Linked DNA regions of Oryctolagus cuniculus. The protein of the gene in region 1 purifies or fractionates together with the protein of each later gene. This does not show direct contact. Links are inferred from orthologs where the notes say so. Each region holds a gene or a part of one and is shown on either strand. Other genes may lie near its edges. The genes, in order: PIDD1 and CRADD.

Region 1 (9,196 bases):
GCCCACCTGCCCCTCTGGGAACTCGACGGGGATGTACTTAAGGGATCGTGCCCCTGGCGTGGGGCCAGAGCCGCCAAGCGCTCTGGGCCTGAGAAACAAGCCGGGTCACAGGTGCGGGAGGGCTGGGCGGTGACTGCCCAGGGTGAGCAGGAAAGGGGTGCAGGGTTGAGAGCGGGGTCCTGGAGGGGGACACAGCCCGACTGAGGAGGTGGGAGGGTGTGGCCAGGGACTGCCAGGAGACCCTCAGAGGGAGGGGCCAGCGCCCCAGGGCCACCCTGGAAGGTCCAGGGGGCTCACAAGGCACTGGACCTCCTCCCCAAGATCTGTTGCCAGGAGGCCGGGAGGCCGGCCTCGGCCCTCCGCGGCAGCCGGGCCCGACACCTCTTACCCGGTTTCCACAGCACCAGGGCCACTCTGGGGACAGACCCCTCCTCCAGCAGGCTGGGAGCCAGGGTCAGGGCGGGTGATTCCTGGAATCCTGGCCTGGGCTGGGCGCCGCGCTCCCTGGAGGCTCGGGTCACCGCTGCCCCCACAGCCCCTGGCCCCCCAGCCTACTCCACTAAGGGGCTTTCCGGAGGGGCTGCGCTGGAACCCGAGCCCCTGCAGTCAGGGCGCCCCCACCCAGCCGAGCCCGGGCGCAGCGACTCCTCCGCTGCGCACAGCCGGTCAGAGGCACGGCCCCCACGGGCAGCTGCTCCACGGCGCCCTGCTAACGCGTCAAAGGCCTCCTGGGCCCCCGCACCCCTGGGAGACGTGGACGCAGCTCGGGGCGCTGGCCGTGGGCTGGCCCAGCTCGTCCTCACGGCCGTCCGGGGAGTGACCGGCGGTGGAGGCTCCGCCCCCCTCAGCCTTTCACGCACAGCGTAGCAGAAAACAGCAGAGAAATCTCGGGTCCGCGGCCCTCAGGGGGCGCCCCGCAGCCCTCCCCGCACAGAGAGACTCAGAGGCTCCGGTACAAAGGCTTTATTGGGGGGGGGGGGGGCTAGTCGAACAGGCCGAATCCCATGTCGTCGTCCGACTCCTCGGACTCCTCCTTCTTCTCCTCCTTCTTCTCCTCGGCTGCAGGGACAGAGGCAGTGAGCGGCCGCCCGCGGAGACCCCAGCCCACGCCCCGGCTCCCCGCCCACTCACCTGCGGCGGGCGCCGAGCCGGCAGCAGGGGCCGCGGAGCCCGGGGCGGCAGAGACGGCCACAGCCGTGCCGGCGGGCACACTGGCCAGCTTGCCGATACCTGGGGGAGGCGGGGGGAGCGATGCCTGGAGGGCCCTCGCCGGCACAGCCCTTGGGGGGGGATCCCGCGGCCCCAAGACCCCGTCTGCAAACTCGGCTTTTAAATTACCAAGTCTCAGCACCGCGCGCCACGCGCAGCAGAGCCGTAGGAGCGCCCCCAACGGGACTGCCCGCACCGCGCGCGAGCGGGGCCGTAGGAGCGCCCCCAACGGGACTGCCCGCACCGCGCGCGGGAGCGGGGCCGTAGGAGCGCCCCCAACGGGACTGCCCGCCCCGCGCACGGGAGCGGGGCCGTAGGAGCGCCCCCAACGGGACTGCCCGCACCGCGCACGGGAGCGAGGCCGTAGGAGCGCCCCCAACGGGACTGCCCGCACCGCGCGGGAGCGGAGCTGTAGGAGCGCCCGCCCGGGACCGCCCCGACGCCGACCCCGACGCCGGCGCCCGCGCCGCTCCGCCCTGCTCTGGTCCACAAGCGAACCCTGGCGGGCCACGAGCCGGCCGGCAGGGATTAGGATGGACCCCCGCCCGCAGCCCGCGCCCCCCGCTCACCCTGCGCGATCACGTCCTCGATGTTCTTCCCGTTCAGCTCGCTGATGACCTGGCGGGGACACGCGCGGGGCGCTCAGCACGGGCGCGGGGGCCCGCACGCTCGGCGGCGGCGTGACCGGCCCAGCCCTCCCGCGCCCCCACCTTGTTCAGCCGGTCGTCATCCGCCTCGATGCCCACGCTGTCCAGGATCTTCTTGATGTCTTTGGCGCTGGGCGAGGAGTTGCCCCCGAGGGCGGCCAGCAGGTAGGAGGCCACGTAGCGCATGCTGCGGGCGGCGGCGGCGTTACCGCGGCGACCCCCGCGCGCAGCCCGGGGAGGCCCCAGCCCCGCACCCCCGCCGACCCCGCGCCCGCTCCCGAGGCCCGGCGCTCCACTCACGCGGCGGCGGCGGCGGACGGGCCTCACGCGTGCGACCTCGGCGGCGTCCGGGGCGGAAAGGAAGGCGCCGGCGCAGTGGGCGGGGGTAAACCGCTACCCAGAAGCCTCTGCGCCGGAATGCGAGGCGCCTCCGGATGACGTCCGCGGCGCGCAGCCAATGACGGCAGGAGAGGCGCCATCGTTCGCTGCCTACCCAGGCGGTCGCCGTGGCAAAAGCGAAAGATTGTTCCCGGACTGGCTTCCCGGATACCGTAGGGCCGAAGGTCCCTGGATATGGGCAGGGCGGCGGGCGAAGAAGGCTGACCGGGACTTCGTCTGCCTTCCGCGCCTCGCGCTCCCAGCATGCCACGCGGCGCCTACAGAGCCCAGCATGCAGCGCGGCCGCCACGCGCGTGCGCATCTCGTGCCGCGAACCACGAGTCCCATGATGCACCGCTACCGGAAGTCGCGGCCCCTGCCGGCCTGGAGCGGCCGCACGTGGGCGCGGCGAGCCTGCGCGCCCAGCCGCCTCGCCTGGGCCCCGCGCGCGACACGAGGTCTGCGTGACCGGCCGATGGCGTCCGTGTTCTCGCCCGCGCTGGCCGCGCGTCCGTCCCGGCACGCGTGGCTCAGTCACCCGCTCGGGCCCGCGACCCGGGTCATGGGGGCCCCACCCTTGCTGGGGTAGTAGAGAAAGACGGGTCTTGTGCGGCCTGGGGAAGCGTCCCTGAGCTGAGAGGGGACAGGGAGCCAGCCCGGCGCGCGTCCTGATGGGCTCCAACCGGAGCGCAAGTCCCCGCGCGTGGGTCAGGACCCAGTGTGTGAGCGCACCCCGAGCCCCCAAGCGTGGGGTCAGGAGCCGTGTGTGAGCGCGCCCCCCCCCGAGCCCCCGCGCGTGGGGTCAGGCCCGGTGTGTGAGCGCGCCCCCCCCCGAGCCCCCGCGCGTGGGGTCAGGCCCGATTGTGAGCGCACCCCGAGTCCCCGCGCGTGGGGTCAGGAGCCGTGTGTGAGCGCGCCCCACCCCCGAGCCCCCAAGCGTGAGATCAGAACCCGGTGTGTGAGCGCACCCCGAGCCCCCGCGCGTGGGGTCAGGCCCGGTGTGTGAGCGCGCCCCGAGCCCCCGCGCGTGGGGTCAGGCCCGGTGTGAGGGCGCCCCCCCCCCGAGCCCCCGCGCAGGGCGTCAGGAGCCGTGTGTGAGCTTGGGCCGCAGGCCGCCCCTCTAACGCAGGAGGACCCTGGGCACTCGGGAAGTGGGAGGCCAAGTCCTGGCGAGGGCGGACTCCGGTGCAGCCCCAGAAGCAGCTGTCCGATGCTTCACGCAGAGATGGGTGCGTTGCTGGGTTTTTGGTGATCGCCACCTTTCTGAACCGTGCAGTTCGCGGAGGCCGCGTCACTGCTGTGGCCTCACAGCCCCGCCTGGTCCCTGGGCTGCACCCCCAGCCTTAGCGACCCCCATACACTCACAGCAGAGCTACAGAGCGAGGGAGACAGACGTCTTTCATCTGCTGGTTCACTCCTCAAATGGCCACAACTGCTGGGGCTGGGCCAGGCTGAAGCCAGGGGCCTGGAGTTCCATCCGGGTCTCCCACGTGGGTGCGGGGGCCCAGGTGCTCTCCCAGGGCGTCAGCAGAGCTGGATCGGAAGTGGAGCAGCCAGGAACCAGTGCGCATGGGGTGCCAGGGTTGTTGCACCGCGCCAGCCCCCTGGGTCTCTGTGTGTCGTTTTAAATACGTATTTATGTGGAAAGCAGAGCGAAGGGAGACAGCCAGGTCTTCCACCCGCTGGTCCATTCCCCACATGGCTGCCACGGGGAGGCCGGGCTGCAGCCGGGATCCAGGAACTCTGAGTCTCCCCTGTGCGGGGCGCCCGGAGCACCCGGGGGGGGGGCTGCATGGGAGGTGGAGCAGCCAGGACCCAACCAGGCCTCCTGGAGGGCGCTCCTGCTGCCACAGGGTGCCTGCCCTGCTCGTCTATTTAATAGATTTGAAAGGCAGACAGAGGGGCGGGCGCTGTGGCAGAGCAGTGAGGCTGCCACCTCAAAAATAGGTGGGGCCGGCGCCGCAGCTCAATAGGCAAATCCTCCACCTTGCACACCGGGTTCTAGTCCTGGTCGGGGCGCCGGATTCTGTCCCGGTTGCTCCTCTTCCAGGCCAGCTCTCTGCTGTGGCCAGGGAGTGCAGTGGAGGATGGCCCAAGTGCTTGGGCCTTGCACCCCATGGGAGACCAGGAGAAGTACCTGGCTCCTGCCTTCGGATCAGCGCGGTGCACGGGCCGCAGTGCACCGGCCGCGGCGGCCATTGGAGGGTGAACCGATGGCAAAAGGAAGACCTTTCTCTCTGTCTCTCTCTCTCTCACTGTCCACTCTGCCTGTAAAAGAAAAAAAAAAAATAGGTGGCCCATACGGGCGCCAGTTCCAGTCCCGGCTGCTCCACTTCCAATCCAGCTCTCTGCTGTGGCCTGGGAAAGCAGTGGAAGATGGCCCAGGTCCTTGGGCCCCTGCACGCGCATGGGAGACCCGGGAGAAGCTCCTGACTTCGGATCGGCGCAGCTCCAGCCGTTGCAGCCATCTGGGGAGTGAACCAGCAGATGGAAGACCTCTCTCTCTCTCTCTCTCTCTCTCTCTCTCTCTCTCTCTCTCTCCCCCTCTCTCTCCTCTCCTTCTCTCTTTCTCCTCTCTCTGTGTAACTCTGAATTTCAAATAAATAAATATTTTTTTAAAAATAAAAGGCAGAAAGAGATCCATGAACTGGGTCAGTCCCCAGCTCAGAACAGCCAGGGCAGGGCCAGGCCAAAGCCAGGAGCCTGCAGCTCCATCCAGGTCTCCTGGGGGCGGGGACACCCGCTGTCTCCCTGGGGTGCAGCTGGGCCGGGGAACAGAGCTGGGGCTGTGGTGTCTGTGGGGGCTTCCTGTGGGTGGGGTCCCTCTTCCAGGGGAACGTGTCCAAGGTTCCTTCCTTAGCACCTATCACATTCACTCCTTTTCTCTCTCTCTCTCTCTTTTTTTTTTTCCCAGAGTGGTGGTTTTATTTTTAAATTTCTGTTTTCATTTTATTTGAAAGAGACTGAGATGTTCCAGAGACAGGTTCACTCCGCAAACTCCTAAACAGCCAGGGCTGGGCCAAGCCAAACTAGGAGCCTGGAGCTCAGTGGGCCCCCCCCCGTGGGGGGCAGGGGCCGAGTGCTTCAGGCATCTCTGCAGCCCCCCAGGTGCACAGAGCCAGGACCCTAACCTCTCGGCTGTAGGCTCCCAAGGGTACACCGAGTGCCCACCCCAAATACACTCCATGAGGCTCAGAAGTACCCCCCTGATTGGGCCTATGAAGGATCCCCCCTTCAAACGGCCACTAGGCGGGCACTAGGAGGGAGGCCTGGCGGGAGCCGCGGGTCCACCTCGCGGCGGGCAGGGACGAGCAGGGGAGGGGCGGCGCGGGGAGGGCGCACAGGCCTGGCTGGGAGCACCTGGCACCTGTTCTGCTGGGTGACAACAGCCCCGCGTGCGGTGGGCGGGGGGCGTGTTTGGAGGGGCGGGGCCCAGAGTCCCCGCCTGCCCGCCCGGAAACGCGCGGGCGGGAAGCGGGAAGCGGGAAGCCGGGCGGGCGCCTGGACCCGGGTGCGCGGCGCCGCGACCCGGCCGGGGTGTGCAGCTGCCCCCGACGCGAGGGACCGCGCTCCTTCCCTGGCGGCGGGGGCGGCGGAGCGTGGGCTCTCGGGGCTGAGCCGCGCGGTAGGTGCGGGTCCTAGGCACCGCGGTCCAAGCCGATGCGCGAGAGGGTCGAAGGTGGGCTCTTAACCCCAGGACTGGGGCAGACTGGGCTCCCCACCCCAGGCAGCGCTGTCCACGCTCGGTGCCCCTCAGACGCTGGACCACAGCCCCCAACAGTGACCCTGCAGAGCCCAGGCTGAGGGGGAGGGGGAGAGACCCAGCCCCCATCACACTCACTCCTCTCCCTGCCTCGCAGCTTCCCAGGGCCTGCCTGAGCAGGCCTGCTCTGCGAGCTGGGACATGCCTGGCCCCCAGGGACGGCCGGGGGGTGACGATGGCCACAGTGGCGGAGGGGCTGGAGCCCGAGGCAGCTGCCACGGGAGATGCTGCAGCAGCGGCGGCGGTGGGTGCCGGGCCCGGGGCGGCTCCTCTCCTGGCCGGGAAGCAGCTGAACTTGGACCTGTACCCCGCGGGCTGCCAGCGACTGCTGCACCTGTGCGCCCAGCAGCCGACGCAGCTGCTGCAGGTGGAGTTCCTGCGGCTGAGCACCCACGAAGACCCCGGGCTGCTGGAGGCCGCCCTGGCCCGGGTGCCTGCACGCCTGCCCCGCCTCCGCTCCCTGGTCCTCAAAGGTGAGCCCGGCCGCGGCGTCTGACCCTCTCCCCACCCCTCCCTGCTGCCCTGCCTCAGGCCCGCCCCCACCCATCAGCTGCCCTGGTCCGCCGTCCCCTGCGCTCTGTGGAGCCTGGCTCCCCCTGAGCAGATCCAGTGTGGACGCCGCTCCTGGGGAAGGACGTGGGCGGCGCTGCCTGGGGCTGAGCCATGGCTCCATCCCTGCGCCCTCCGCCTGCAGCACCGAGCCCGCGTCTGCCTGTCCCCATGCAGCGCCAGGTGCGGGGGCCAGCAGGGCCGAGCTGGCAGCCAGGGCCCTGGCTCTGAAGGTCACGTCTGCCCCTCCCCGTCCCAGGAGGCCAACGCCGGGACATGCTGGGTGCCTGCCTCCCGGGCACCCTGACCACGCTGCCAGCCAGCCTGAGTGGCCTGGGCCGCCTGGCCCACCTGGACCTGAGCTTCAACAGCCTGCGGACGCTGCCGGCCTGCGTCCCACACATGCGCAGCCTGGACGCTCTCCTCCTGTCCCATAACCGCCTCTCGGAGCTGCCCGAGGCCCTGGGAGCCCTCCCTGCCCTCACCTTCCTCACTGTGACGCACAACCGGCTCCGGGCGCTGCCCGCGACGCTGGGGGCGCTGTCCACCCTGCAGCGCCTCGACCTGTCTGAGAACCTGCTGGACTCCCTGCCCGCCGCCATCGGGGGCCTAAGCCGCCTCTCTGAGCTCAACCTGGCCTCGAACGCGCTGCAGAGCGTCCCGGCCTCCCTCGGTGAGTGGCAGCGGAGGCCCTGGGCTCCTGGGGCAGCACCCTGCAGCCTCACATGGGCTCTGGCCCCTCTCCGCTTCTGTAGGGGCCCCTGCACCCGCAGCCTGCCCTCAGCCCAGCCTTCAAGGCCTCCATGAGGCCCACTGAGTCTGCCAAGGGGCGGTGTCCGCGAGGGTGGCCCCCGCAGGCCCCCCCTCCCGGCGCTAAGCCGGCCCCGCCTGCCTGCAGCCCGCCTCCGGTGCCTGCGGCTCCTGGTCCTGCACAGCAACCGCCTCACCTCCGTGCCCGCTGACCTGGCCGGCCTCCCGCTGCTCGCCCAGCTGGACCTGAGGGACAACCAGCTCCGGGCCGTGCCCCCTGAGCTCCTGGACGCACCCTTCGTGCGCCTGCAGGGGAACCCCCTGGGCGAGGCCCCAGCAGCCTCCCCGAGTCCCCCAGGTAGGCCTGTTGCCAGGGAGGGGCACCACAGGGGAGACGCGGGCGGTGGCACCCCCCAGGATCTGTCCGCCCCTCCCGCAGGGACCCCCATGGATCCGGAGATGCCTCGGCTGCGCCTGACCTCGGACGCGGGCAGGTACCGGGCAGGGCTGGAAGAGCGGCCAGGACGTGCCCTGGGGGTTCTGGCGTCCACGGGGGCCCTGTGTGTGTGACCGACGCTCCTCCACCCTCAGCTTTCCCGTCACCCCGTGGGGCTGCTCCGTGACCCTGGCCCATGGTGTCCGCCTGCTGTTCCCGGCCGGGGCCACCACCGCCCCCGTCACCATCCACTACCAGCTATGGCTGCCGCAGCCGGGCCTCGTCTCGCTGGGCCCTCACGACTCCCTGCTCAGCAGTGTCCTGGAGCTGTGGCCCCACGGGCTGACCTTCCGGCAGGCACGGCCAAGGCAGGTGGGGGGTGGGCGTGGAGCCCCCAGGCCCGGCTCTGGCCCTCACACGGCCCCCTGCCTGGCAGGATGTGAGCCTGTGGCTGCTTGTTGTCCCCCCACGGACCCAGCTTTGCCGTGAGGTGGTGGTCAGGACCCGGAGTGACGGCAGCTGGAGCGACCTGGAGACCTTCCTGGAGGAAGAGGCACCCAAAGTGAGAGCTGCCCAGGCCTGGCCTGGTGCTGTCCACCCCTGCCCGCTGTTTGCCTGGACCCCCGGCCTGACTCAGCCTCTCCTCTGACCCCTCCCCTGTCCCAGCGGCTCTGGGCCCGCTGCCAGGTGCCCCACTTCTCGTGGTTCCTCGTGGTTCTGCGCCCTGTGTCCGATGCCTGCCTGGTGCCGCCAGAGGGGACCCTGCTGTGCTCCTCTGGCCACCCTGGGGTCAAGGTCACCTTCCCCCCAGGGGCCACCCAGGAGCCTCGTCACGTGTCCATGCAGGTACGGCCAGCATAGGGCCATGGGCGGCTGGGGCGCCTCCGCGCACGGTGGACACTCAGGCGGCCTGTCTGCCCCAGGTGCTGCGCATGGCCGGCCGGGAGCTGCGAGCCCTGCTTGGGGAGCCTGGGGCCGCCGTGAGCCCCCTACTGCGCCTCTCGCAGAGCGGCCCCACGTCCTTCCTGCGGCCGGTCACCGTGCAGCTGCCCTTGCCCCCTGGCCTCACAGGTGAGAGGCGGCTGTGTGGCCCCTGGGCCGGTGGCCTGCAGGGCAGCCCTGCAGCGGGGCCTCAGCCTGCTGTCCCGTCCTGTCCAGGCCTCGACCTGGACCGTTCCCGCCTGCACCTGCTGCACCGGGCTCCTCCTGAGGCCACGTGGGATGACATCACGGCTGCGGTGGCGCTGGAGGTCACCCACCTGTATGCACGCTTCCAGGTCACACACTTCTCCTGGTCAGTGCCCCCCCCCCGCCCTCAGCCCCATCCCTGTGTGCCCAGCCCCTGGTCACTCCTCCTGGTCAGCCCCCCAGCCCCAGGTCACTGCTCCTGGTCAGCCCCCCCCAGCCCCTGGTCACTCCTCCTGTTCAGCCCCCCAGCCCCTGGTCACTGCTCCTGGTCAGCGC
Region 2 (9,096 bases), on another chromosome or scaffold:
CCTTTCTCTCTGTCTCTCTCTCTCACTGTCTACTCTGCCTGTCAAAAAATAAAAAAAAAAATAAAAACTAAAAAAATTATTTAAAAATAAATTATAGAGACTCTCACAGGAAAAATGTTGTTCTTGTCTTGTCATCCCAGAGCACATGATATCACATGGTTAAGGTCTCTACTGTAAAGTTTTCTTTCTACGTTCTGTTAACTGTGGTTTCTTTTTAACTTAAGACTTTAAGCGTTGTCTTATTTAGTTTCCAAAGTTATGGGACTTACAGAAGTTTTGAGTTTTACTGTATGATGGCAGAACACGTAGTTCATATCCTACTGATGTTTGGGGATTTATTGAAATTTCTTTGTGACCTGATTCATGATCTATTTTTGTCAGTGTCTTACGTGCGCTTGAAAAGAACCTGTTTTTCTCCATGGCTGAATTTCCACATCTATGAAACAGGAAGAAAGAACCAAAAATATCCAAGTGCTTTGATTTTTTTTTTTGAGGGCTGCAAAACCAAAGACAAAATGAGACAGAAAAATAGTACCTTTGTTCTTTTTGACTCTTTCTTTTGCAAACTCACAATGAGTATATCTTGACACAAGTAAACATACCAGGGGACAGAGAAAAAGGAACATATCTGTACTTCCTGAAATGGATTTGTTACCACTGGGAACAGGTGCTTAATCCTCTTAAGGCACAATTCCAGCCTACACAGAGGAACTGGCAAGCGTGGAGGCGTGACCACCTGTGGTGGTGATCCTCCTCTGTGCTGGGTTCTTCAGAGAACCTCTGGTCTTAGATCTTTATAGAAGCCAAGCTGGACTTTTTTTTTTAAGATTTTAATTTATTTTACTTGAAAGAGTTACAGAGAAGTAGAGAGAGAGAGAGAGAGAGAGAGAGAGAGAGAGAGAGGTGTCTTCCATCTGCTGGTTTACTCCCCAAATGGCCAAAATGGCCAGTGCTGAGCTGATCCGAAGCCAGGAGCCAGGAGCTTCTTCTGGGTCTCCCACACAGGTGCAGGGGCCTAAGGGCTTGGGTCATCTTCCACTGCTTTCCCAGGCCATAGCAGAGAGCTGGATCAGAAATGGAGCAGCCAGGACTTGAACCAGTACCCATATAGGATACTGGCACTGCAGGTGGCAACTTTACCCACTACGTCACAGCGCTGGCCCCGGACTTTTTTTTTTTTTTTTTTTAAGATTTATTTTATTTATTTGAAAGGCAGAGTACAGAGTTACAGAGAGAGAGACAGACAGAGAGAGAATCTTTTGTTGGTTCACTCCCTAAATGGCTGCAATGGCTGGGACTGGGCCAGGCTGAAGCCAGGAGCTACACACATGTGTGCAGGGGACCGAGCACTTAGACCATCCTCCGCTGCTTTCCCAGGTGTGTTAGCAGGGAGTTGAACCGGAAGTAGAGCAGCTGGTACTCGAATTGGTGCCCATATGGGATGCTAGTGCTGTAGACAGCAGCTTAACCCACTGCAGCACAGCACCAGCCCCCAAACCACACTTTGATATACCGCTCCAATATACTGTGTGTTTATATATGATATACTGTGTGTATATCATATGTATATACCAGCCCCCAAACCATACTTTGATATACTGCTCCAAAGTATCACTGTGTGTTTAGGTGGGGTGGTGGCCACTTCTTCCACTGGTTAATGACAGGTAGCTAGACAGTCTGAGAGTCACCCTGGTCACTTAGTAGGCAGTATGGACACATCTAACTTTGCCACAGGAAGAGGAATTTAATGGTGGTGGTCTTTGTCTATGGATAAGTCAGAACCTTAAAGGCCAGCCACTCAGGTTATTTACCATAAGGATGCCTGCCGATAAGCTCACTTTTTGTGTGCTGTTCTTGCCCTCTTTGCTTCACTTCTGTGACCCTCAAGGGTCTTGCTCTTGGTTCTCCACCTGTTCCTGGACGTCATAATCAAGGCTCACCCTTGAGTTCCCAGATCTAAAGTCTTTCCAGATAGGGTAAGTGCTCAAGATGTGTATTCAACGGGTGTTAACTGTGCTATTTGTTTCAACTTTTCTGTTTAAAGATTGTCAAAGCTTTAAAGTTGGAAAAAAATATATTTTGTTTTCCTTGCCAAAAAGTAAGTAATCCTCCGCTATTGGCAGTGTTGCCTGAGGGCTACACTTCACCTGGATGAAGACAGAGAATGCTGCTGCTACTTGTCCAAGCAGGGAAAAGGAAAGAACACCAATTTTAGAGTGCATTTGTCCTTTTTTTGTTACTATAACAAAATACCTAAAGAAAAAAGGTTTATTTAGCTCACAGTTCTGGAGATTCAAAGGCATGACATTGGCATCAGTATCAGCACAGGTCTGGTGATGCTTCATGGTAGATGACATCACATGGGCAAGGGCGTGTGTGGGAGAAAGAAATCACATTTCAAAAACAGGAAGTTAAAGAGTTGGGTGGTTTTATAACAAACTTCTCTTTAAAGAACAAATAGGATCCTCAAACTATCATCATCCTTTGACAGCAAGGCCCCCCAATCACCCAAAGACCTCCCACTAGCCTCATCTTTTTTGTTTTTTAAAGATTTATTTATTTGAAAGTCAGAGTTACACAGAAAGAGAAGGAGAGGCAGATAGAGAGAGAGGTCTTCCATCTGCTGGTTCACTCCCCAATTGGCTGCAACAGCCAGAGCTGCGTGGGTCTGAAGCCAGGAGCCAGGAACTTCCTCCGGACCTCCCACATGGGTGCAGGGGCCCAAGGACTTGGGTCATCTTCTACTGCTTTCCCAGGCCACAGCAGAGAGCTGGATCAGAAGTGGAGCAGCCAGGACTTGAACTGGCACCCATATGGGATGCCAGCACTGCAGTAGCCTCTTCTTAAAGGCCCCAGCAGCTCTCACATCACCATACTGTGGTCCAAGCCTACAATATGTGAAACCCCAGGGGGAACCAACTGTATCCAAACCAAACCGTAGAGCAAAAGAGGAAGTGGACAAGAGTACAGAGTACCTGAAACTCGACTATCAGGAGTGGGAAGTGGCAACAGGACTATTTACCAATAATATTTTGGCTGTCACCAGAACAACAGAATCTTTATGGGACTGTGTTATATACTGGAAAGAGCATGAAATCAGAATCTTGATTAGAATTCAGGTTTTGCTTTGTATTAACTCAGACTTTGGCTAAGACAATTGGCCATTCTGATTCCACAGTCTCTACACATGTAAAATAATAACAATAATATTAGGCGCATATATAAAAACACTTTACTGGTATAGTAAAATTATATACTAGCATAGTAACGCTGTAAACTGGACATAATTATCAGGTTTTCAGAAGGAAGGTTCAGAATTCCCCTCCACTGATTTTCTTATAAGAATATATTCATCTTCCTTCAGAGGTGCTGGTTGTGAATTCCTTTGGAGAAATTATATTTGAAAGATTTTTTTTCTGTTACTGCCAATCCATTTTGAGCAGGTGCATGACTTTCTGCACATACTTGCATTCTCCGGTTGATGTAAAAATGAATCAATGAATACTTTATTGACCATATGCCTTGTTTCACAAAAGAATTTGAGGAAAGACTCAATTTGCTACTCTTCCATCTCTGTATTGGGTCAGGTATTTGGTCTTGCTTCCCAAAGTAAAGATGTGGTAGACACAGTAGAATCAGCTTCATCTGATGTCCCTCCCTCTAGTTGGTGATTTCAAGACTCTATTGGTGAGTGTGGCCAGAAGTCAGTTTGGCAGTGTTGTGTAGGGGTCACCCTTTGGTGATCAGCCCTTTTAACAGCTTACCCCGTGATTCCAAATGTCCCCAATGCCCCATGACAAACCCCTTTCTCTCTGGAGTAGCCTGGAAGCCCAGGGGCACTGACTTGTAAACTCTGCAGGCAGGAATACTGTGGACGTAGAGATGATCCTGCACTCAGGTGGAAACAGCTGGTAAACAAATGAGTAAGCAAAGGTTTTGGTAAAACAGTGATGTGCTTGAAGAATCAGAATAAAATGGATTGAGTATGGCTAAAAGCTAATTGCAGACCTCTTGCTTCTGTACATATTAGCTTTGTTTGGTAACGGCTAAGGGTGGATCTTGTGAAACTATGTGGGCCCAAATTCCCAGGAACTAGGTTGGCCAAAATGTGTCCTTCACTGTTATTTTACAACCATATCTTGGATCTGTTATTGGGTTTGTTGTTGTTAACTGTTACCTTACAACCATATTCTGGTTTTCCTCTTTATTGTTCACTGCATACCAGGGGTCCGGTTGAAATTGTGAGCCCTAGTGGACAGAATACTATAAAAAGCTATGTAACCCACTGTTGGGGGCTGCCCTCTGGTAAGGAGTGTGGGTTCCTATGGGTGGACGGTCCTGCTCGGTTACCTGCCTTTCATTTGCTTCTCATTTTCAATAAAATTCATGTGTGACCGTCACTAGTTTTTGTAACATTTTGTTTTAGCTTATGAGTGGATGTAACATGCTCTAGATAAAAATAAACAGGTAAACGGAATGGGAGCGCAAGAGAGGAACACAGGTGCACTGCCATTTTAAATAACAGTGGTCAGAAAAGGCTTTGCTCTAGGGTAACTTTTGAACTGCCTGTCTAGTATATCAGTTGTGTGCAGGGCGTGGTGGAGTTACTCTATCAAAAAGCAACAATATCTTTACTCCTTCGCTTAGGTAGCCCTCCAAGTAATACCACAATTTTTCACCTTCAGGCGGTTTTATTGTTTTCCCACAGCAAACATGGCGGACAAAGCGTCAACCTGACCCCTGGACCGCCTATAAAAATGGCGACAGTACTTCCACTTCCTGTGTTTGCCCTCAACAAAGATGGCGACGTCACTTCCTGTTTCGGGCTTCCGCCTTCAACAAAGATGGTGCTTATGGTAGAGGTTCCCTGACAGTCTGGATTCCGGTTGTAGTTTTTTTTTTTTTTAGAAACGTGGTTGCAGACGTAAGTAAGAGGAATCCATCTTTTCTCGAAAGCCCCGCGCTGTGGCGTTCTGACCCGAGCCCTGTGTGGCCCTCTCGCCCCCCGCTAGCTTGGTTACCGGGCTTCAGAACCGGGCCAGGGTTGGGGTAGGGGCGGCGGTGCTGGGGGTCCGCTGTCCCCTCAGGGGGCTCTGACGAGAGTTCCCAGCACTCCCTGTTTGGCGGGTGAAGTTGCTTTGAAAATCTCTGGCGGTTCTTCCTGTTTGTAATCCGTCAAGGGATTCAGCCGCCAAGGCAGGGAATTAAAGCGAAGTTCCGAAGGGATGTTCTCAGCCAAACGTGGACACCCCCTCCTCCACCTGCCACGGCCCAGCCCTCGCAGAGGGCGGCGAGGGGAGCCGGGTGTCGCGCGTCTGAATCCCCTCCGTGCCCCTTAACCCTCCTGTGCTTGCAGCAGTCCCACAGCTTACTGGGCGGCGGTGTGGGCTTTTTGTTTTAAGAAAAAAAAAAAAAAAAGAAAGAAACCATTAAATGCCCCATGCCGATGTCCCATACCCACCGCAGAGCTGTGACAGTGGTCCTGAATTCTTAGAAGGATTACGCTCTGCGTGTATGTAGTGTGGTCGTGTGGTCGACTGCGCACAAACAGTTTAGAAGTACTTTTCTTGAAGGTGGTGATGGTGTGGAGGGTTTTTCTCTTGGAAAAAATCCTTCAATGCATTCTGGCCCCCCACTGCCATTGCTGAGGTCTGTTAGTTTCTCTAGCAGTGGTGGCTGGTATCTCCGATGAAGTCCATGTGGAAATAAAACCATGTTTCTACTCCAGGGCGTTAAAACGGAATGTTCCTCTATAATCCTCAGATAAAAATTGCTTCTTAAGCAAAGTGTCAGACCCACTGCTGTCCACATCCTTATTGAACAAGGAATTGAACTTTGACCACACTGTGTGAAAAGCAAAATAAATAAATAAATAAATACATAAAATAAAATAAAAATTCATTTTTAGTGTCATTTGGAAACTTGGAAATGAACTTAGCTGGGCTTACCAATCGTGTGTGAAATACCATAGCCTGGCCCCGTGCTAGGGCCCGCGATGTATCTGGTGCATTGACATTATCTTGAGGGGCGCTTAGGCATTTCTGTGATTTGAGCCAGGATTTTGTGTCTTCTCAGGGAGCAATGGAGGCCAGAGACAAACAGGTGCTCCGCTCACATCGCCTGGAGCTGGGTGCAGAGGTTCTGGTGGAGGGACTGGTTCTTCAGTACCTGTACCAGGAAGGCATCTTGACAGAAAACCACGTTCAAGAAATCCAGGCTCAGGCCACGGGCCTGCGGAAGACAATGCTGCTGCTGGATATCCTGCCGTCCAGGGGTCCCAAAGCTTTTGATGCATTCCTGGATTCCCTGAAGGAGTTCCCCTGGGTGAGAGAGAAGCTGCAGAAGGCAAGGGAAGAAGCTGCAACAGAGCTGCCTGCAGGTAGGCCTCCACAGGTCTCTTCTCGCCAGCTCCTGAAAGGTTGGAACTGTGCCCTCTAGACTGAAGTTGGAGTTTTAGGCTGGGCAGAGGTCGATGATGCGTGCAAGGGGTGGGGGATGGCAGTCAGGAGTTTGGACTGAAGGGACACGGATGGGACAGGATGTTGGGGGGACAGGATGAGGAGGTCCAGGGAAGGAAGGAAGAAGGAACCATGCCTGAGAGGTTGAGGAGGGCACTCAGAGAGTACGCTGAGAAACGCTTCCAGGGAGACTTGGCAAGCCACTCAGGAGGCATGTTCTCATCAGAGAGCCAGGTCACAGCCCAGCCCTTGGCATCGAGAGCCATTTGGAAAGTGCAGATGGGAAAGCGGGCTTTGGCCTACTGATAACTGGTTTGTTGGGCGCCAGAGCTGGCAGCTGGGAAAGGTCACAGTGGTGGAGGCGGTGCGGTCTCTAGGAAGGCAAGCTCCGCACCTGTCCCCCCTCGCCCTGCAAGGCCCAAGGCGCGATTGTGAAGATGCGCTTAGTTGGTTTCTAAAGGCTGTCAATTTAAAGTGTTCTTTTAAGTTTGACTTTGTTGAGGCACCTGAAGGATTTCCTTTTGTAGGGATGGTCATCTAGGGGAGGGTTTCGTTTTGATTTTAAGGAGAATTGGAAGCTGTGGAAAAAAAGAAGCCATTCTGGTGCTATTAGCCTATCTTATAGCAGGTAGAAGATGTTATACGAAGCACTTGTTCCCTCCTAACATTTCCAGGGTTTATACTTTTTCCGAGACTGAGGGGCAGAGGACTGAAGTGGCAAAAAAAATTTTAAAATATTTTTTTCTAAGTCCCCAGACTTTGTTGTTGCTGTTTTAAAAATGCCAGAACAACTAGTTAAAAAATTCTAGTAATAAAAGACCATTTATTTTTTTTTTCTCCATGGACCCTGTATTTTAAATGATTTTTCAGACCACATGTATGAAGTACTCCTAATGAATTCCATTTTTGTTAATGATGTGTGTCTGAGTATCTGACATGTGATGACCAGTTAAGAAAACCTGATGAAATCACAAAATATTTTCATCCTTAGCTTGGATAAATTCCAGGTAAATTTATGCTTAGACTTTTTTGAAATTGAAAATAGCTCACCTTGGAGGACAACTGGAACTCTCAGCCTGGACTGTCATTAAGCGCTCTACATGGCTGAACAAAACCAAGCCAACAAATCTAAGACATTTTTACTACTTTATTGAAAAAAATAAAACAGAATTGGGGAGAAACTAAAACATTTTTCAATCCTAGCCAGTAAGATGCTTGCGCCCCACATCACAGTTCTTGGGCTCAATTTCTGGCTTTGGCTGCTGATTCCAGCTTCTTTCTAAAGCACGCCCTGGGAGACAGCAGTGATGGCCCAAGTAATTGGGTTCCAGCCTCCCATGTGGGAGACTGGGATTGAGGTCCTGGCTTTTGCAGGCATTTAGGGAGTATGAACTAGCAGATGGGAGCTTTAGCTTTCCGTCTTTATGCTTCTTAAATTTTATAAAAACAAATTATTGGTGTTTTCCTGGTATTTGTCTTAGAGGTTCCCTGGCGGCACCTAGTTGGAAATAAGAAGGGCGAGTTGAAAGGTTTTCACTAGCAATTTAACTTAATTGCATGGTCATTTTGAGTGATGTAAATAGTACTGCTCTATGGCATTCACAGAGGTGTGACCCCATTTCCATTTCCTTGGATTCCTTCGGAGAGTAAGGTTACCAAATGGTGAAAGTTACAAAGAAGCTAAGGGAAAAATAGGTTTTTAAAAAGCAAACAGGATGAGACAGTATGCATAGGAAGAAATTGACTGTATCTGTGTAGAAGTTTAGAAAAATAAGGTTTTCCAGATTTTTAAAATTCTGTCGAATGAAAGATAAGGTTAATCAATAATTCTTAAGTGTTTTAGTTCTTATTAACACAGCTACAGAAAAAAATATTCTGAAGCGGTTTGATTTACATGTCTGTATACCTTCTGCAATGATTATTACATAAACTCATTTTTAAAATAGTTATTTTTGCAATGACTATTTTAAATAACAAAATATGAGTAATATATGCCGGTACTGGCGCAGTGAGCACCTTTTTGCACATCACTCAGGTTTAGAAAAATAACAATTGCCTTTGAGAACCCCTGGATGCTCCTTCCCAGTCCTCTCCTTCTAATCCATGACTCACTGATAAGCTTGAATTTGGAGTTTATCATTTATTCTCTTTACTTTGTGGTTTTTCATCTCATAAAAAGCACTTAAAAAAATCCATGTTACTGAAAATCCAGTATACCATAGATCCTAGTGGTATATAGATTTATCTATCTATCTATCTATCTATCTATAATTTATGTGTATGGGAAATATGGAAGAAATAATATACACATTTAAAAAAGTTTATTTATTTATTTGAAATGCAGAGTTTCAAAAAGGTAGATTTTCCATCCTCTGGTTCATTTCTCAGATGATAGCACCTACCAGGGCTGGGCCAGACTGATGCCAGGAGCCTGGAAGCCCATCTGAGTCTCTCACATGGGTGTGAGGGCCGCAAGTCCTTGGGCCATCTTCTGTTGTTTTTCCAAGTGCATTAGCAGGGAGCTGGATTAAAAGTGGAGCAGCCAGAACTGGAACCTGCACTCAAATGGGATGCCTTTGTCTCAGCCTGCTGTACCTCAGTGCTGGCCCCAAAACATGCATATTTTAAAGGAGTTGTT

Evidence for each region.
Region 2: the proteins of PIDD1 (region 1) and CRADD purify together in Homo sapiens (affinity purification with western blotting; 8 studies listed by BioGRID and IntAct, with this or other methods). This does not show direct contact. The link is inferred for Oryctolagus cuniculus from reciprocal best matches to the Homo sapiens genes PIDD1 and CRADD.

Annotation. Positions count from the first base shown.
Region 1 is NC_091432.1:330,615-339,810, reverse strand, and holds the start of PIDD1 (p53-induced death domain-containing protein 1), read left to right. Parts: upstream 1-3,104; 5' UTR 3,105-3,463; intron 3,464-5,678; exon of another isoform or gene 5,679-5,913; intron 5,914-6,094; 5' UTR 6,095-6,172; coding exon 6,173-6,470; intron 6,471-6,691; exon of another isoform or gene 6,692-6,805; coding exon 6,806-7,219; intron 7,220-7,444; coding exon 7,445-7,654; intron 7,655-7,735; coding exon 7,736-7,790; intron 7,791-7,887; coding exon 7,888-8,089; intron 8,090-8,168; coding exon 8,169-8,294; intron 8,295-8,398; coding exon 8,399-8,578; intron 8,579-8,655; coding exon 8,656-8,803; intron 8,804-8,890; coding exon 8,891-9,196. Other genes in the region: RPLP2 (large ribosomal subunit protein P2), read right to left, coding at 983-1,059, 1,132-1,230, 1,779-1,827, 1,920-2,042. UniProt on the Homo sapiens protein: Component of the DNA damage/stress response pathway that functions downstream of p53/TP53 and can either promote cell survival or apoptosis.
Region 2 is NC_091442.1:96,628,459-96,637,554, forward strand, and holds part of CRADD (death domain-containing protein CRADD), read left to right. Parts: intron 1-4,704; exon of another isoform or gene 4,705-4,708; 5' UTR 4,709-4,924; intron 4,925-6,075; 5' UTR 6,076-6,081; coding exon 6,082-6,379; intron 6,380-9,096. UniProt on the Homo sapiens protein: Adapter protein that associates with PIDD1 and the caspase CASP2 to form the PIDDosome, a complex that activates CASP2 and triggers apoptosis.